Linked DNA regions of Caenorhabditis elegans. The protein of the gene in region 2 purifies or fractionates together with the protein of the main gene of each other region. This does not show direct contact. Each region holds a gene or a part of one and is shown on either strand. Other genes may lie near its edges.

Region 1 (6,661 bases), on a different chromosome or scaffold from region 2:
TCTAAAGTTTCAACAAATTATTTGAAATTAAAATATAGAATTCACGTCAAAACTTTTAAAAGCGGCGAGCGGCCAAGGCAAAGGCCGGTCGGCGTGAAGCGCCGACGCCGCGCCGCTCTCTTATGGAAGCCTTAGTTTCTAACTACATTTCGTTTTTTAGGTTGTAGTTCCAAAACGCTTTTGAATCTCGCAGATATCTTGAACTCGAAAAAAGGTGATATTTCTATTACATCTAGAACGTATCAGAATATTTCTGACGGTCTTTTAACTTTTCAAAACGATTCTCAAAGTTTCAAGAACAGTACTTTCCAAAAGAGACCTTTTTCAGAACTGTCCAAAATTTTGGGATATTCTATATCTGAAACTTACCAGAACCGGGTATGAAAATATTGAATAATAAGCATGTAATTGCAACTGGAACAGGAAGAAATGGTATTGCCTCATGCATTGTGGTTATATCATTTGTTGGCAAGTTGACCTTGAAAAAATGATCAATATATGTAATAAAGTTGTCATCTGACATACTTTGTCACCCGATTTCGGTTCTTTTTGAGTGTGAGCTTCTTCTTGTGCAGCTATTACTATTCCAGATATATTAAATGCATTTGATTGAACATTAACTTGTAGAATACCCTCTGATCGACCATATTCGATTATTCGCGGAACCGTTTTTTGAACCAATTTCCAGCCACGAACTTTTTCTGCTGAAATTTCTTAGGAAGTTTCGCGGATAATTGTTCTTTAAATACGATTGAAAAATTATGGCACAGGTATTTTAAAGGTATTTCCCAGTGGGTCTCGCCGCGATCTCTGTCATTTTGGCATCTACAAAATGTAAAATTTTACAAAATTATATATTTTGCATAATCAGTAATTAGCTCCGCCCACTTTTGAACCAATCAGACGGAGTGTGCTTTGTTCGAGTTCGAAGATGATGAGTGGTTCGAAAGTGGGCGTGGTTTCTCATTTTGGAGGGAATTCAAAAATGAAATTTAGCCAAAATTGAAGTTTTTTTAAGTAGGAGTTTTCATTCATATTCGCGATTTTTCGTTTTTCTTTTGTGGAATTTCTGAATTTGAGAGACTATTTCAAATTTTTTAAATTTAAAGAAAAATTATCAAATGCTCTCGCTCTATAAAATGCGGTCAAATATTTTTTTCTCAAAAACTATGAACAGTGGAAAAGTGTTTTTTAAAAATACAAGTGGGGCCTTTCATTTGGTATTTTTACGATAAAAAACTAACAAGTTTGAAGTATATTGGCCATCCCATCCGTAACATTTTGTATCATTTTGAGATGTAGTTTTCCGAATAATAGTAAAAAAAAGGTAAGTTGAAAGACGCAGAAGAATGAAAGCTAGTGGAAAAAACTAGTGGCCATGTGGAGCGGAAAAAAAGAAAAGGGAGAGGTGGTTTCCGGACCCTATGAGCAATTATGTGTGTATTACTAGAACCTTAAGAGAACATGATGGATCATGTCAAATTGGATAAATTGTAATACGAAAATTGGAAATAATCTAAATTTTTATAAACTCAAAAAAATGCAGTGACATGTTTATGATGATGCGATTAACGTGGATGGCGGAGTGACACTCCCGACGAATTCTTCGATAATTTCGGGAAGCTCAGGATATCGACAAATGAATTTATGACCAAGACCATAATCTGATGAAAACTCTCGAATTTTGATATCCCTCTCGGCATCTTTTGCCGCTTCGTACAACGCTCTTCCCAGCTTCACAGGAAGAATTTTGTCGTCCTCGGCGTGGAGGATGATTATTGGACACGATACTCTGAAAATCGGTAGGTTTTTTTGGTCGTTATCTGCATATTTCTTCTTACAATCTGATGCGTTTGTCAGAACGCATAGTGAGGCCGACACTGTTGAGCGGTCGAATGATGATGTGATCTACCATGAAGTCATTCATCCAGCTAAACACTGTGAAGATCGGATGATTTGTTACGGCATCCTTCAAATTGTTGAATGGCGATTCGAGGATTAAACCGCACGGTGGTTGCTGTTCTCTTGAAAGATCTTGCACCAACTTGCAGGAGACACTGAAAATTGAATTGAACAGTATTTTAGATGTATCGTAGTTTCTCTATTAGTATCAAGGGTGTCATCGAAAAATTTTCATTTTTTCAGAGAAAACTGAAAAAAATGTTTGATATAACAAAAAAAAATCAATTAAAAAATTTTTTTGTGTATGTCGATGATAAAAAAAATTTGGAAATGTTTAAATTTTTTTTAACAAAAAGAAAAATGGCCAAAACTTGAAGCAATTTTTCGGAAAAAACGAAACATTTCCGAATTTTGAATATGGAAGTTTCGAATTTTGATTTACACCTGCAACATATGAAGCTGTTTTTAATTTCTTGAAACCCGATTTTTCAAGAAAAAATGTTATTAATTTTGGTGAACTAGAGCTATGCTCAAAAAAGCCATCTTAAATTTGTATTTTTTGATATCAAAATCAGTCAGCATTTTTTTTTTGCATTATCCTCAGTACTTTAAAAATTGAGTTTAAAAATTTCTGATTGCAGTGAAATAATAAATTTAACTCACCCAGTTCCCATCGAATGACCCCATACAATAACAGGCGTCTTCCCGCAATTCTCCTTCAGCCATTCGTATACTGTTTTTGTATCTTCAACAATTCCTTTTTCGGTTGGTGTTCCTTCTGAATCTCCATATCCTCGATAATCGAAACAGACGACATGATAATTACAATCACTGAGCAAATTGTACATTTCCACACGATGGTAGAATGTGCGATCGAACGAGTTTCCATGAGCGTAGAAGATAATTCTGAAATTTATTGATTTTTTTTGAATTCATTCTTTGAAAATCCTACTGATTCTCTGAATCCCTCATCATATCGTCAAAATCTCTCTCTGTCGGATGTTTTCCTTCTGTTCTCCATTCTAAACTCAATTTGTTGGGCAGAATGTGCCAAACACCAATCCTTCCACTTTTTCCAGGCAAATGAAGAGATCTTCCGATTGATTTAACGTTGTTCGACGCCAAATCATTGTAATCGGTGTTCGGCAGACGTCCTTAACAAGGTAACATAGATCAAAGATAAAAGATAAGATAAAAAAGAAAAACTAACGGAAATTGAGAAAGAAGATGAACTGTGTGTAGCGTGGAAGAAAATATACCAGTATTGGAAGGAAGATGACAATTGAGAGGACTAGAATTGTGATACAGAGTAGTAGCGGTTGAATAAGTACACTGAAATTAAATTTTCGTTTAATAAATCAAGTTTTAAAATGTGGAAAAATGCCTAAATTTAAACTTACATAAAATAGCCTAGCATGATGTTGATATTTTGTTAGTTAACCGCTTCCATTCGAGTAGTCAAGTCACCTGAATGCATACAAAATGAGGTATATTAGATAGTGTACTTGAAAGTGAAAATGGAAGCAAAAAAACTGGAATTTCTTTAAAAGAAAGAGAAAAGTGGAAGAGAGAAGCAGAGGTATACACAATATACTCACCCTGCTAGTCACTTATTGATTTTTTCTCCTGTTAGTGTTTTGTTTGTACTTGATGACGGTCAGGAGGAGCGCCTGACCGCCTGACCGATTTATTTTTTGAAACACAAAAAACGAAAGAGGATAATTTTTCAACGGACTACGGTGGACAAGTCCGCAAACACCGCGCACTAAACTTGCGTACTTTAGGAATTTGCAAATTAATTTGGAATTTTACTCTTTTTTATTAATTTTTAACTTAATTAGCCTGATAATAGCTTGTTTTATGCTTAAAAATAAATCAACGAGCTGCAAAAATAATTTAAATTCTGACAACACAGCGCTATGCCCTTTACGAAATTTATTTGAACCGTTTTTAATAGTGCCACCTCGTTTTAGCACTTTTTCAACTCTTTTCCGCGTTCGCCAAATTTATTTTCCCATTTTGTTTGCAAATAACGAATTTAAAATTTGTTAACTCTCTCAAGTAATGCAATTTCTTTGTGATTAATATAACACTTAAATTTACCCTTCAATATTGCAATATATTGCAGAACTGCGAGTAAAAATGACAACTCTCCGGCCATTCGACGTTATGGATATGTTCAAGTTCAATAACGTGAACTTGGATATCAACACTGAAACGGTAAATTGCTCAGTAAATAAAAAAAATTTAAATATATTTATTTTTGCAGTATGGCTTCCAATTTTACCTGCACTATATGATGAACTATCCGGAGTATTACCAAGTTGCTGAACATCCAAACGGGGAAATTATGGCCTATGGTTTGTTTGAAAATAAATGAAACATAAATGTGAAATAGTTTAATTTTTCAGTCATGGGAAAAATCGAAGGACGCGACACCAATTGGCACGGACATGTAACTGCTCTCTCTGTGGCTCCAAATTTTCGTCGATTGGGACTAGCCGCCTACATGATGGAGTTCTTGGAACGTACTTCTGAAGCGTAAGTGATGGCAAATTAATATTTTATTAAAATCTAAGAATTTTCAGTCGTAGAGCATATTTCGTCGATCTGTTTGTTCGTGTTTCGAACAAGATCGCCATCGAATTGTATAAGAAGCTTGGATATGTCGTCTACCGGCAAATTATTGGATACTACACTGGAGATAGGGACGAAGATGCTTTTGATATGCGGAAGTCGCTTTCTCGCGATCCTGAAAAGAAAGCGATGGTTCCTTTGAATTATCTCGTGCACAGTAGAGACGTGGATTAATTTTAGATTGTTTTGTTTAGTATTTATTTATTGTTTAATGTTTATTGTGTTGGTTGTCTTGTCAGTTATGACAAATTATTAAATTTATTTATATTATTTAGATTTCTAGAATCATTCACAAATCAATGCCAGAGTCTTTACAATTGTATCAACAATTTGATCCACATTTTCACTATTCGCATCAACAGTGACGATATTTGATTCATCGGGACTCGGAAGTTCAAGTGTAGCCAGCTGACTATCAAGTAAAGTAGATGGCATGAAGTGTCCGGGACGGGAATTCACGCGTTGCTGAAGAACTTCCCTGCAAAAAATGAAACGATGAATGCGTGAAAATGTGTGAAAGTGGGAAAACGAGCGGACGGAAGCGAGTGCGAATTTGAGTTGTTTGTTGTCCATTTTCACTTTTCTGCCCATTTCTTTCACCACATTTTTTTGCGCGCTGAACATTACTTGCCTTTTTAAATTCAACAGAATGAAAACAGCTCTTCCGCTGGCTCCATTGGGAAGATGTTCACAAAGAATGGATCTATAACGTCTTTTAAGCGCAGAACAAGCGATAACGTATCCTTGATTGAGTCTTGCGTAGTTGTTAATAGCTTGAAGCCATGGAAGTCTATCAGAATCATTCAGTGGTGTGCCGGCTTTCATTTTCTCTACATTTTCAGGTGAATGGAAAGTATCACCATCTTTGAATGGCCGTCTGAGCTTCTCAGAAAGAGCTTTTCCAACAGTACTTTTACCGCATCCACTGACACCCATTATGTATATTGTCTGAAATTGAATCTACTTAAACAACATTTATTACGTAAAACAAGTAAAAATTCAACAAAAAATTACATTAATGTTTGACATCTTTCGTTGGATCGATTGATTCGAATGGCGGTAGATAGAAGAATCGAGCGATTGATGCGTAGAATGGAACTGAAATAAGATCAATTTAACCTGGTCGTGATCATTAAAACAAGAAATATTACCTGCTGATAAGGATCGAATTATTTGTCGAGTTACAGGCCTTGTTGCATAGTATCCGATTGGTCTTGTGGCAAAAATTATGTAGCAACCGATGCCGAATAGACTAAAATTACAAGTATGAAGCTTAAACAATTGTGCAAATTCTAGGTGAATTACCTGGCCGTTCCGATGATCTTACACGAAACACAGTCCTGTTCGGCAGCTGGTTGAGAAGATGAAGAAGCCAGCTGAAAAATAAAGGATTTGATGAAAATTACATGAGAATAAAATTTGAAAAATTAAAGACACAGTTCAGTTCGAAATGCGTTTTGAATTCAGAGTCTCAAATGACTTTTGTCTCAAATTTCGTAATGCAGAATTTATGGTTTTTCTGACTCACTTTTGAAAGAAAATGAAATTTTCGAGGAAAAAATTGTACCTATTGGTTTTAAAAAAATCTTCTTAGTTTTCGTCGATTTATTTATTTATTAGGTTTTCGCTAGACATTTCAGAATAAAATTGTATTTAAAATAAGTAGGAAACAGAAAAACATTTTTTTTTAATTAAAAGAAAAAAGTACAGTACTCCTTCAAAGGCGCATGTATTATTTTTTGAAAAAGTTTCACGCCTGGAATGGTTTTCGTCCGCAATATTTATTTATAAATGAAAATTTTCTGCAAATCTTATGCAAATCCAAAATTCAAAAAGAAAAATTCCACAAAAAAACCTCAATTTTTCGAAAGAGTGCAGGCGCGCTCCATTGAACCGCCGCTGTTCTTCTCGCGGAAAGGCAAATCATAATAATGTTTCAAGTGAAAAGATGATAGGGTATTCCTTTTACCTATGTAATTGTGCTATCTATTAAAAGATTTTTCCTTTCTCTCTGGCATTAATATCGTTAAGGATAGCTACTGATTCTCGTTTCAATTAACTCCATCCAGCACTTGGATCTTCCAAATCTAGTCTTGTTTTTACCTTTTTTTTTGCCAAACAG
Region 2 (10,395 bases):
CTGATAATACATGAGTCCATTGATCAAGAGCCATTCCAGGTAATCTTAACCATTGTTCAACACATTCCACAGCTGCTTGTTTTGTGATTGAAGAGGTGTCACCGCCGCGAAGTACGACTGCTAGTACGCTTATTATATTCTGAAATTATTTTTTTTATTGTTATAAAACTAATGGTTGATTTATTATTAGATCGCAGAAAAATGCACTCAAAAAAATAATTTTTTAAAGCATTTTTCGCCTTTTTCGTGGTTTTTCCCGATGTTTTTCATGATTTTTGTGTAGAAATTGCGTAAAAACGCATGAAAAGTTGAAAAAAGAATAAGATAGGTTCATTTTAATATTTGTGATCTTTTTTTCATGAGTTTCGATTTAAAATCATGAGAAAAAAAGTGAAAAAATGCTTGAAAACGTTTGAATCTACGGTTTTGGCGCCAAATACCTAACGAGACCCGAAATTTCAGCCATTTTGCCTTTTTTTAAGAAGAAAATTATATTTTTCGGCTCATGTTTTTTCTTTTCAATATTTATTTTTAAAAATATTGGAAAAAGAAATTGCATTTTTCTGTTAATTTTCTAAATTTTTTTTTCAATTTTTCGGTCTTCTAAAATTCGGAAAAATTTCGTTTTTCGATTTTTTTTTCTGGAAAAAACCTCGGAGAATTTGTGCAATTCGCCTTTCAGTTTACTCCTCTGTGTCAATGGCATTGTGACATGCGAAAACTCAGCTGCCATATCGGAAAGTACTCTGCAATCTTGATACAATCAATTTTAAATCCATAGAATTATCTCACTTTAACAATATTTCGGGAGATCCTGCGAGTGTCGGTGTCAGATCTTGAACAGGCGTCGGCCAGAGATCAGGTACACAGTATAGAGAAAAGAGAGCAAGTGCAGCAGAAAGCTTATTCAAAACTGATGTTGTTTGAGCATAGGCTCCAGATTTTAAGCTATCAATCAGAAATGTTTTCAAGCTTAATTGCTGTAAATATAAAATAATTAATTTTTTCTCAAAATCGAGATTTTATTCTAACCACTGCCTCATTTGCAATACACTCTTCACTTCGTACTCGAATCACATCGTAAAGAGCCACTGCACCGAAATATCTGACAATTGATGAGCTTGTAGGTTGACTGATAATTCTCATACATGCTCCAACTGTTTGCATACATTCATAGTCTGAAGAAATTCAAAATTATTTCCAAAAGCCCGGAATACTCTTAAATTCAGAAAATGTTGGTCTAAATTCCCTCCAAAAAGAGAACTACAAGACCAATCAGTGATTTTGGAGGGAATTCAAAAATGAATTTTAATCAAAAAATTGGATTGTTCATTTTAATTCGATTTTTTTCGGATTTTAAGACTAAATTTTCAAAAGAAAAATCCCTAACCAGTCTTGAATCGACATAAAATCGCATCAATTTCATGTCTTCTGTGCTCATCTGTTGTTGTGTAAAATTCATTGATTGTGGCTATTAGTAGATCAGAATCTAGAGAAACTACGGCCATTCGACCTGGAAACTATCCTGAAATATATTTTATTTTGTTTAAGGTGCGAAAATTTATGACTTTTGCGCCCAAAATACGGTGCCTGGTCTCGACACGGTCGGAATTTTTATTAAAATTTATTTAAAGGCTTGCGCCTTTAAAAAGTACGGTAATTTTGAAACTACAGTAATGTTTAAAGGCGCATATCTTTCCAATTTTAACCAAAAAAAGTCGTGTCGAGATCAGTATCGTATTTTTAATGCAAAAATCGAAAAATTCCGCGTCTGGAACATGGAATTCGTCAGAAAATATGCATAAAATACGAGATTTTTCAAACAAAAGCACAGATATTAAAAACGGTATCGAACCGATAAAATCAAAAAATAATTCTTAAAATAAATTCACTTTTAACAAAACTTTAATATGAAAAAGAAAGTATTTCCATAAGAACGAAACAATTGATGCGAAAAATACCAAGAAATGAGAAAAGAGAACGACAAGTCTTGTGAATGAGATTTTGGAAATTGGGGGGCGGGGGGCGGTGGGAATTAATTTTAATAAAATATTCCGCATATGAAGAAAAATGTTAAAAATGAAAATCAGAACAAAAAAAGGAAAAAAAGAAACAAAAATCGCTTACAACTCAATAAAGCCTCTAGAAAATTATATAAACTGATAAATAATCTCAGAATATTTTTGTCATGACAATAAACATTGATATTAGAACCGTATTCTTCTGTGATATCCTCTTTCAGTGTCCTCTTGATTTTGACGCAGTGCTGCTTCAATTTCTTCGAGACATAATTGAGCGTGTAAACGGACAGTCTCATCACGATCCGTTCGATGAAGTTGACGAATTTCGCGGTGAAGATCGAGAAGATGTTCTCGGAGAATCTGAATTTTATAAAATTTTGAAATTTTTATGGAAAATTATTTTTTTGTTAATGAGAAAAGCGTTAAAAATGACCCCAAACGTCACACTGGAAAGTTTTAAAAAATTTCCAGAAATTGAAAAATTTTGAGCCTTTAGGAAAATTTATAAAAAATATTATTGTGTAAATAATTCGGGTCATTTTTAACGTTTTTTGGTTTGTTTTTTTTAGATTAAAATTTCTCCGAGTATGAAATTCGCTTAGCCGTTTTGATTTCTGTTTCAGCGAAAAAAAACCACTCACAGCCAGCATATCTCTACCAGTTGATTGTAAGCTATGACGAATGAGATCAGCAGCCGAACGTCTAACAAGTGGCGATCGATCGACTCGAATAATATTGACAATTTTATGGAACACCTGTCCCAACCATTTCTCGGATCCTCGTCCACGAGTAGCAATCATAAGATTTCCAAAAGCTCCACAACTGCTGGCACGAAGAATCTCTTCTGGTTCATCGATTCCTTTCATGAAAAGTGTGGCGAGTCGATCGAAATAGGTGACAGAAATCTCTCCACGTGCGAGCAAAAGTTTTCCAATCGCTTCAGCGACTCTTCCAACACGAATGATCATTTTAGTGTCTTTCTGAGGTTGATTTGACATCTCTTCATAATATTCAATTGTATCCTCAAACATGTTCTTATTGTAAAGTCCCATTTCACAGAGACAATTGATTGCAGACAAATATACGTATGAATCATCATCGGCGACCATATCTGAAAGAAATAGAGAAAATAATTATTTATTTCGACACTGAAATCGAATATACCTTTGACAGCATCAAATACTCCATATTCGAACAACCTCTGACAGTGATACGTTCTGTTTCGGAATACTCTAGCAATTTGCATTAATGCTCCTCCTTTGATAGCTGGCTCATCGTCATGAAGCTCTTCAATCCACTCATTACAAACGTCAACTTGTTGATTATATCGTTGGCGATCGGTTCTTTGTGGCAGAGTTGGTGCGTTGACTTGATTCACGTCTGGAAAAAATATGCAAAAATGTTTCTCTTTTCAAAAAATCAGAGGCAGAAATTATTTGACCTACCAATTTTGAGATCTCTGAGCAGTTTCTTAGCTTCGTCAACAGCTAAATTAAAAGAAACATCTTCGGATGGAAAAGCGTCAGCAGCTTTTGTAAAGTTTGCCATGGCTTCCATGGATCTGATATGAACATCGTGCATTCGAGTTGTTGTTTGAGTCAGCATGAATACTGTGCTGATCATTGGAAGACACATTTTTGCAGAGTCTCGGCTGCACTGAAATGGAAAAAAATTAGCAATGGTTTTAGAAGGAATACGGAATTTTGCGATTTTCACTCCTGTTCTTGAAGCGGCCGATTTTCTTAAATTTGATTGTTTTTGCATTATTTTTGTACTGGGTTCCTCCCGTTTCTTCAAAATTTGATTCATTTTTATATCTTTTTATATGTTTAAACAATTGCCGATTTGCCAGAATTTTTCATTTTCGGCAAATTGCCGATTTGCCGTAAATGTTCTTAAAAAATGTGCAAAACCGATTTTCCGGCGAATTCGGCAATTTACCCGTTTGCCGGAAATTTTCGATTCCGGAAATTTTCAATTTTCAATTCCGGCAATCTTCTGATTCTCGTTTGTTGCCCCTTTGCTACAGTACTCCTCAAAGGTCTGAAGAATTTATAGAAAATCGTTCGCTTCGAGACCTTTCAAGGTGAAAATCTTAAAATCTCGTATCTGGACAATATTTACCTCAAATTCTTTCTTCTCTGTCGGCGTCATTCGAAAAACATCGACATTTCGTTTTCTATTCGCCATACGCATAAATTTTCCAGTACAATTGTTAAGGATGGACTGAAAATATTTAATTTATTTAAATATCTCAAATTTTAGCGAAAATGCCAACCTCGGCAATTCTCAACAATTGAACACATTCTTCCTGTGAGAAACCAGAATCTTGAGCCAAATTTATGATTCTCTCAAAACATGCTCCGACGACAAGATGCGCATGGGATGATGAGAACAACTTTGCTCCGTCCAATTGTACAAATCTAGCTTGATCATCTTCTCGCTCTTTCTCGGAAACTTTCAAAAAGTCATCCAACGCCATATTCATCATCTCTAGAATTGGGCGAATTTGTGCCGATGTCAGAACATTGTCGATGACGAAAAATGCGGTTTCAAGGCGACGAGCTACACCTTCATCAGTACTTTCAATTCCGTGAAGCCACATTTCATCGAACGGAGTGTCTGAAATTAGAGGAGACTTTAATAGAAAACTGGCTCAATTGTCAGAAATTTGGATTTTCCGGTAATTTCCAACTCTCAGATAATTTTTGAGCGTTTTTTTTTTCAAAAAAATAAAAACCAACCATTTCCATTGCTATCTCCACCAATTTCCTGAATTTTCGATGACGTTACAAATTTCTTTTCCAAAGCAACACGATGTGATGGTGTCATTACAAATTGATAAATTATGTATCCAATACTCAAAACACTATCCAACGCCGATTTTAAAATATCTTTAATATATGGAATTTGTTCCACGCAAGCGAATAAACATGTAGACAGCGCACGAGTTCTCTTCACATCAGCCGACAGTTGCAGCTGTGACAGAAGTTGAAGATTTCTGATGAAATTCGGTGAATAGTTCTCCACTTTCTCCGAATGCATGACCGTTTTATCCTGAATTTTCTTGTCCAGCACCTCCCAGAAGTTCAGAATTTTGTCGAAAACCGTAAGATTTGCGTTGAGAGCAAAACGAGTGTGAAGCTCTTCGACATAGTTGATGAACACGTTCAGAGTATTTTGCTCGGGGATTTTCTGGCTCCACAAGAGTTCGAAGAATTGATTCGAGATAATCTCATGATAGTTCAATGGGTGTCTGAACATTTTTGGAACAGTTGCCAAATGCCAGGAAACTTGTTTTGTCAATGGTAGATTGTCGGTCCATGTATCTCCAGCTGAAAATAATTGGAATGATTTTTGTGATTTAAAATTTCGAAAAAATTGGCTTGAAATCTCCAATTTTACCAGTTTAGCGGTTATTTAGGCACATTTGTCCCCTATTCAGCGTATAAACAACCCAAAAACTGGGAATAATCAATTAAAAATCAATTTCTAACAGTTGCGGCATAAAATTGGATATTTTAGCTAATATGTCTTTTAGAGGAATCGTTACGAAATTCGGGTCATTATGAAAAATTATTGATTAAAATCAATATTTTTTGATTTCATTTGGTAATTTCCATCACAAAATGCAGAAAGTCTCACCGCGTTCACGATAATACTGCAAAAGATACGACAATCCATCTTTTCCGACAAGAATCTTTGTCATCTGTTTGCCACAAGCAACTTTCAACCACATCGGCGTCTTTGCTGTCTTCTTATCCTGCGTCAGAAACATCAAAGATCCGAAAAGAACGTCAATTTGGAGTTTTGAGACCAGCTCAGCGAAGTTCAACTCGTATTTATCGATTTTCAGCTGAAGAAGCTGGAAACGAACGGCGAGCACATCGTCGATGAATTTTGTCAAGAATTGACCGATGAGAGATTCATTGCTTTCCAGAAGATTTATGATCACTTTTGCAGCAAACTCAAGCTTTTCAATACACGTTTCTTTGTTTCCATCGTATAGTTTCCACGATTTGATGAATGTACTGCGTGAGGCTGCTCCGAGTCCGGCACCGGGCTCCATAAATGGCAAGATACCGGTGAGCAAGAAGAATTCGAATGATTTTCTCACAAGTGTGACATCTTGAAGTGACAAAAGCTGGTATTCGTCGGAGCAGTTCGCACGTTCTGATTTGAGCAAATTCGCAAGATCAAGATAAAGACCTCCGAGAATTTGAGAATAGTAAATTCTGACATCGGCATTGACAGTTCTAACATCATCAGAAGTAGATGGAATTGAATCTTCGTTTGGTGTGTCTACATACTTTTCAAACAGATCCTGAATACTTAATATAGAGAATTTTTAATTTAGAAAAAACCTCACCTTCGGGCATTTCTTCACCAGTAGCTCAAACGGATCATTTTTCCATGTTTCTGCTGAAAAAATATGTTCATTCACGCGACGCAATTAAAGAAATAATAAAATTTTATCTCGAATTACATTGCAAATCTTATTTAAATATAAATTTATAGATTTTTTTTCGACATAAATCGTGTCGGAGCAATAAAAGGCCACAACAAGGAGATAATTATTGAAATTTACATACCTGGAGGAGTTATCAGTTCGGATATCATATGAATAAGCTCATTTTTGGTCAGCATTGTGCTGAGCAAGCTGAAAATCAATAAGAGTGTTCAAAACTGCGGCAAGAAAATGTTGTCCGAGTGGAGTACACGCGCCACTTCTAGGCCACGGCCACCTCGGCCAGGCTTGATTTTTTTTTCGTTGTTTCGAGGCGTTTAATTTATAAATGAATGTTTATATTTATTTCTGAACATGAGTCATACAAATTTAACACAGATAAGAATTTCATTGATGAATCAATATTCTTCGAGACCATGTTAATAGTTTTGGATGCCTCACACTTCCCGATTTGGATTTTAAAAAAGTATTTCTTTTGTGAGAAAATGTCCGTTTCTGAGACAAATAGAAAAAAAAAAGATTTTTCGTAAAAGGGAAACCGATTCGAACGGGTAGGAAAACAAATGTTTTCGATAAATTTCGGTGCAATGTGAAATTGGACAAGGAGAAAATCAATTAATACATGTGTTTTAAAAAAATAGTGAGAATAATTAGGCAACACGGCGGAGAGTTGGTGCAGCTTTGAAACGGCGGTTGTTTTGTCTGATGACATGAACCAGAAGAATCTGATTCAGGAAGTGGATGCTGAAAATAGTTATAGTAAGATTAGGATGACGCGGAAGATGCACGTGAGCCCGTACCAATCATATAAGCAACTGAGAAGAGAAAAGTGGCCGTTCCTGTGACAGTTTCATTATGGAATCTGTTCTGATCATCCAAAAGGTTTCAATAATTAATGGTGTCGATTACTTCAACCTACCGTGAAAAATACAGACATGCGGCATCCGAAAACTGTTCTTGACAAAGATCCGATCACTGGAATGCTGTGGAACACGAGCAGGATTTGCAGGATTCTTGGGATTGTGTATCCGAAGGTTTCCCACAATAGATTTGGATACATGTAGTTGATCGCGTAGACAGCAATACATTCCAATAGGTGAGCATAGATAGCGAGGTACAGAATATCACAGATTAGGCGGAAAGTGCTGCGATGCTGGTAATGAAGTCCGAAGAAGAGAGGGAAGGTGTTGGTGCGGGCTCTGTAGACAGGATTGGTCTTGACTGGCATTTGAATCTTGATCTCCTTTTGAGCATCTGGAGGTTTGCTCGCCAAGATCTTCGAGGGGATGGTCATGATGCTTTTGTTGCTGAAAAACATACATATTAAGATTTAAGATTGGAGCAATTTTCGTTGCAAGAATACGGTTCCCGGTCTCGACACGACAATTTTTGTGAATCTCAAAAAGAGTGTGTGCCTTTAAAGATTACTATAATTTAAAACCACTCTGCAAAATTTCCACTAATTGGCGTGACCTGAACTTGCATGCGCGTTTAGGTTAGAAACTACAGTATTCTTTATGGCATAGTCGTGGCGAGACCCGGTACCGTATTTTTCTAGGAGATATCGCAACACTTCGAGTATTAAATGCAAGGCTTTGCGGTGGCTCTCAGTATATGCAGAGGGGGAATACGGTAATTATAACGATCTCAAAATAAATATTTGAAAATAAAAGTACAGACTTCAAAACATCTGAACCAAAGGCGAGTGTCAAAGGCAGAAAGTGAATGTCTGTTCAACAACCAAGGCGCCATGACCCCTTACTCCAGGCTCCACCCACTTGGCCCTCTGGACACACCCCCATTTAGAGAGAGATCATGGAAAAGTGAGAGACTGACAATGAAATACTGTTGCAAAGAGAGAGAAACTGGATGTGTAGAGTGATCAAGACAATCACGGAGCTATGACTAACTAGGTGAAGTTAAAAAAGGAGTATTGGTAGTTGAGAATCGGAAAATTGCCGGTTTGCCGAAAATGTTAATTTCCGGCAATTTCCGATTTGCCGGAAATTTTGATTTTCGGCAATTGCCGATTTGCCGTTTGCCGAACAACAATTCGCCGGAAGTTTTTAGAGGGATTTTTTATAAGACGGAAACACTTAAAACTGGGCCTTTTGACTTTTTTTTTTCATTTTTTAAAAATATATTTTCATAGAATTTGCTAATTTTTCAAAATAGATGTAGGAACATTCATAGGATGCGTACAATTTTGCCGATTAAAATTGAAAATCTGAAATTTCCAAAAAAAAAGTATGCAAAGGCACAGTTTCCCGAAAATTTCAAAGCAGTCTGCCGATTTGCCGGAAATTTTGATTCTGGCAACTTGCCGATTTTCCGGAAGTTTTCAATTCCGGCATTTTGCCAATTGAATTGGGAATAGTTATTTCCTGTCGAAAGTTACAGTGGTTGAGTTGTAAATCTAATCGAATCTTGACAATGTTTTCAATTTTTATTTTCAAAAGGTTCCTCTCCCTTTTCAAACATAGCCGCAGACACTAGATAACATACAAAACAGCTGCATTTCTGTACAGTTGGCACCTGTTTTCCGTACCCTCAAAAGACACATAGAATGGGTTATCGAAGTGTCTAGATTCGAAAGTATAGCTGAGCAAATAACTTGTTCTGAAGACAATTTTATTACGATTTTGGAAAAATTGAGCAAAAAAAGGTGTAGGGAAAAGGAAATTTCAAAAATACATAAGTTTCAGTGGAAAATTTTAAATTTCAAGAGTAAAACAGCAGTAAAACAATCAGACAACATTGAATGCATTCATTTCCACAGGAGCATCTTTTTTTTCAGATTTGATCACACGAATCACGCTCCGCGCCAAGAACATTTGAATTGCATAAACTGAAAATATTTCTTTCCTATAGAATCTAGTCTCATTCATGAGCTCAAAAACTCACACCCGGCATCCAAAATCAAAGTGAGCTCAAAGAGAATACAGTAACCAAGGCGTTGAATAAATTCCATTTCATGAGTGTCACCATGTTCCATAACCAATCGAATCTGTTCTGGAGCTCCCGTGTTGAACTCGAAGATTATCCAAATAGGGCCCAGTGTAGCGATGATTGTAGAGACAAGAAGGAAGAATGTCTGAAATGTAAAAGTTTCAGTTTACAAGAGCTTTGGCTAGCTAGCTAGCAGGTGAGCGCAGGGGCGGCATCAATGCCTGCCTAAAACCTGGAGCGTCGCGCCGTTCTAGATTTATTTTTAACTTATCTAGTTTGCGCCGATTTTGACTTTTTACATAGTTTTTCGTTTAGTTTTGAAAAAAAAACTAATTTGAACAATTTTAAAATAAAATGACCTCAAAAACGAGAACAATATTTTTTGTTGATACGTTAAAATTTTTATAAAAATACTGTATTTTGACAAAATGCAAAGTCTAAACCGCAAGGCAGGCAGGCCTTGACGCTCCTATATTAACCCTAGATTTAAGCTATAATTTTAACTTACCGAATACGCCTTGATGAAGGAAAATACGGAAAGATTGTTTGAAACAGAAGCATAAAGTGGAATCCCATTGAAAATCAAACAAATTGGAATATGAATTGTGTGGCGTACCAATCCATATTGTACCAAATATTCCAATTTTGTGACGTCAAATGCAATACTTCCAATGACAAACATGAAGAACCAGACACGAAAGTCAACTTTTTGAAGTCGACGGAAAATTGAAACATTTTCAACTCCAACGTCCATTTTTTCGTAGGCAACTGTGCACATTTTCAGAGAAGAAGAAAATAGAATAAGAATAGACCGATGAGTAAAAATGAAAGGGAGGACCAACAGTGCGCGCGCGCGCGTTCGATAGTTGTTCCCTGGGAAATTGGGTGGCAAATAATGTATCGACTAGGTTATCTAGACTCTCGTATTATTTGTCGATGTGGGGGTACATTTGATAA

What was found.
Region 1: the proteins of ekl-6 (region 2) and natb-1 fractionate together in Caenorhabditis elegans (co-fractionation; one large-scale study listed by BioGRID). This does not show direct contact.

The regions. Positions count from the first base shown.
Region 1 is NC_003283.11:7,980,801-7,987,461, reverse strand, and holds natb-1 (N-alpha-acetyltransferase 20), read left to right. Parts: upstream 1-4,030; 5' UTR 4,031-4,044; coding exon 4,045-4,122; intron 4,123-4,171; coding exon 4,172-4,262; intron 4,263-4,313; coding exon 4,314-4,443; intron 4,444-4,490; coding exon 4,491-4,713; 3' UTR 4,714-4,805; downstream 4,806-6,661. Other genes in the region: Y97E10AL.1 (Protein stum homolog), read right to left, coding at 370-478, 526-704, 1,245-1,290; abhd-12 (Serine aminopeptidase S33 domain-containing protein), read right to left, coding at 1,555-1,792, 1,842-2,057, 2,566-2,808, 2,855-3,056, 3,113-3,234, 3,303-3,319; F26D11.1 (Gluconokinase), read right to left, coding at 4,825-5,017, 5,171-5,487, 5,554-5,568.
Region 2 is NC_003281.10:10,060,696-10,071,090, reverse strand, and holds ekl-6 (RTP1_C1 domain-containing protein), read right to left. Parts: upstream 6,687-10,395; 5' UTR 6,669-6,686; coding exon 6,614-6,668; intron 6,444-6,613; coding exon 6,391-6,443; intron 6,346-6,390; coding exon 5,667-6,345; intron 5,357-5,666; coding exon 4,766-5,356; intron 4,644-4,765; coding exon 4,300-4,643; intron 4,248-4,299; coding exon 4,146-4,247; intron 3,678-4,145; coding exon 3,467-3,677; intron 3,402-3,466; coding exon 3,186-3,401; intron 3,133-3,185; coding exon 2,663-3,132; intron 2,382-2,662; coding exon 2,208-2,381; 3' UTR 1,890-2,207; downstream 1-1,889. Other genes in the region: T16G12.6 (Exportin-T), read right to left, coding at 1-139, 653-746, 793-980, 1,033-1,178, 1,391-1,508; T16G12.12 (Serpentine receptor class gamma), read right to left, coding at 7,220-7,233, 7,290-7,356, 7,409-7,783; T16G12.13 (uncharacterized protein), read right to left, coding at 9,237-9,337, 9,394-9,583, 9,947-10,216.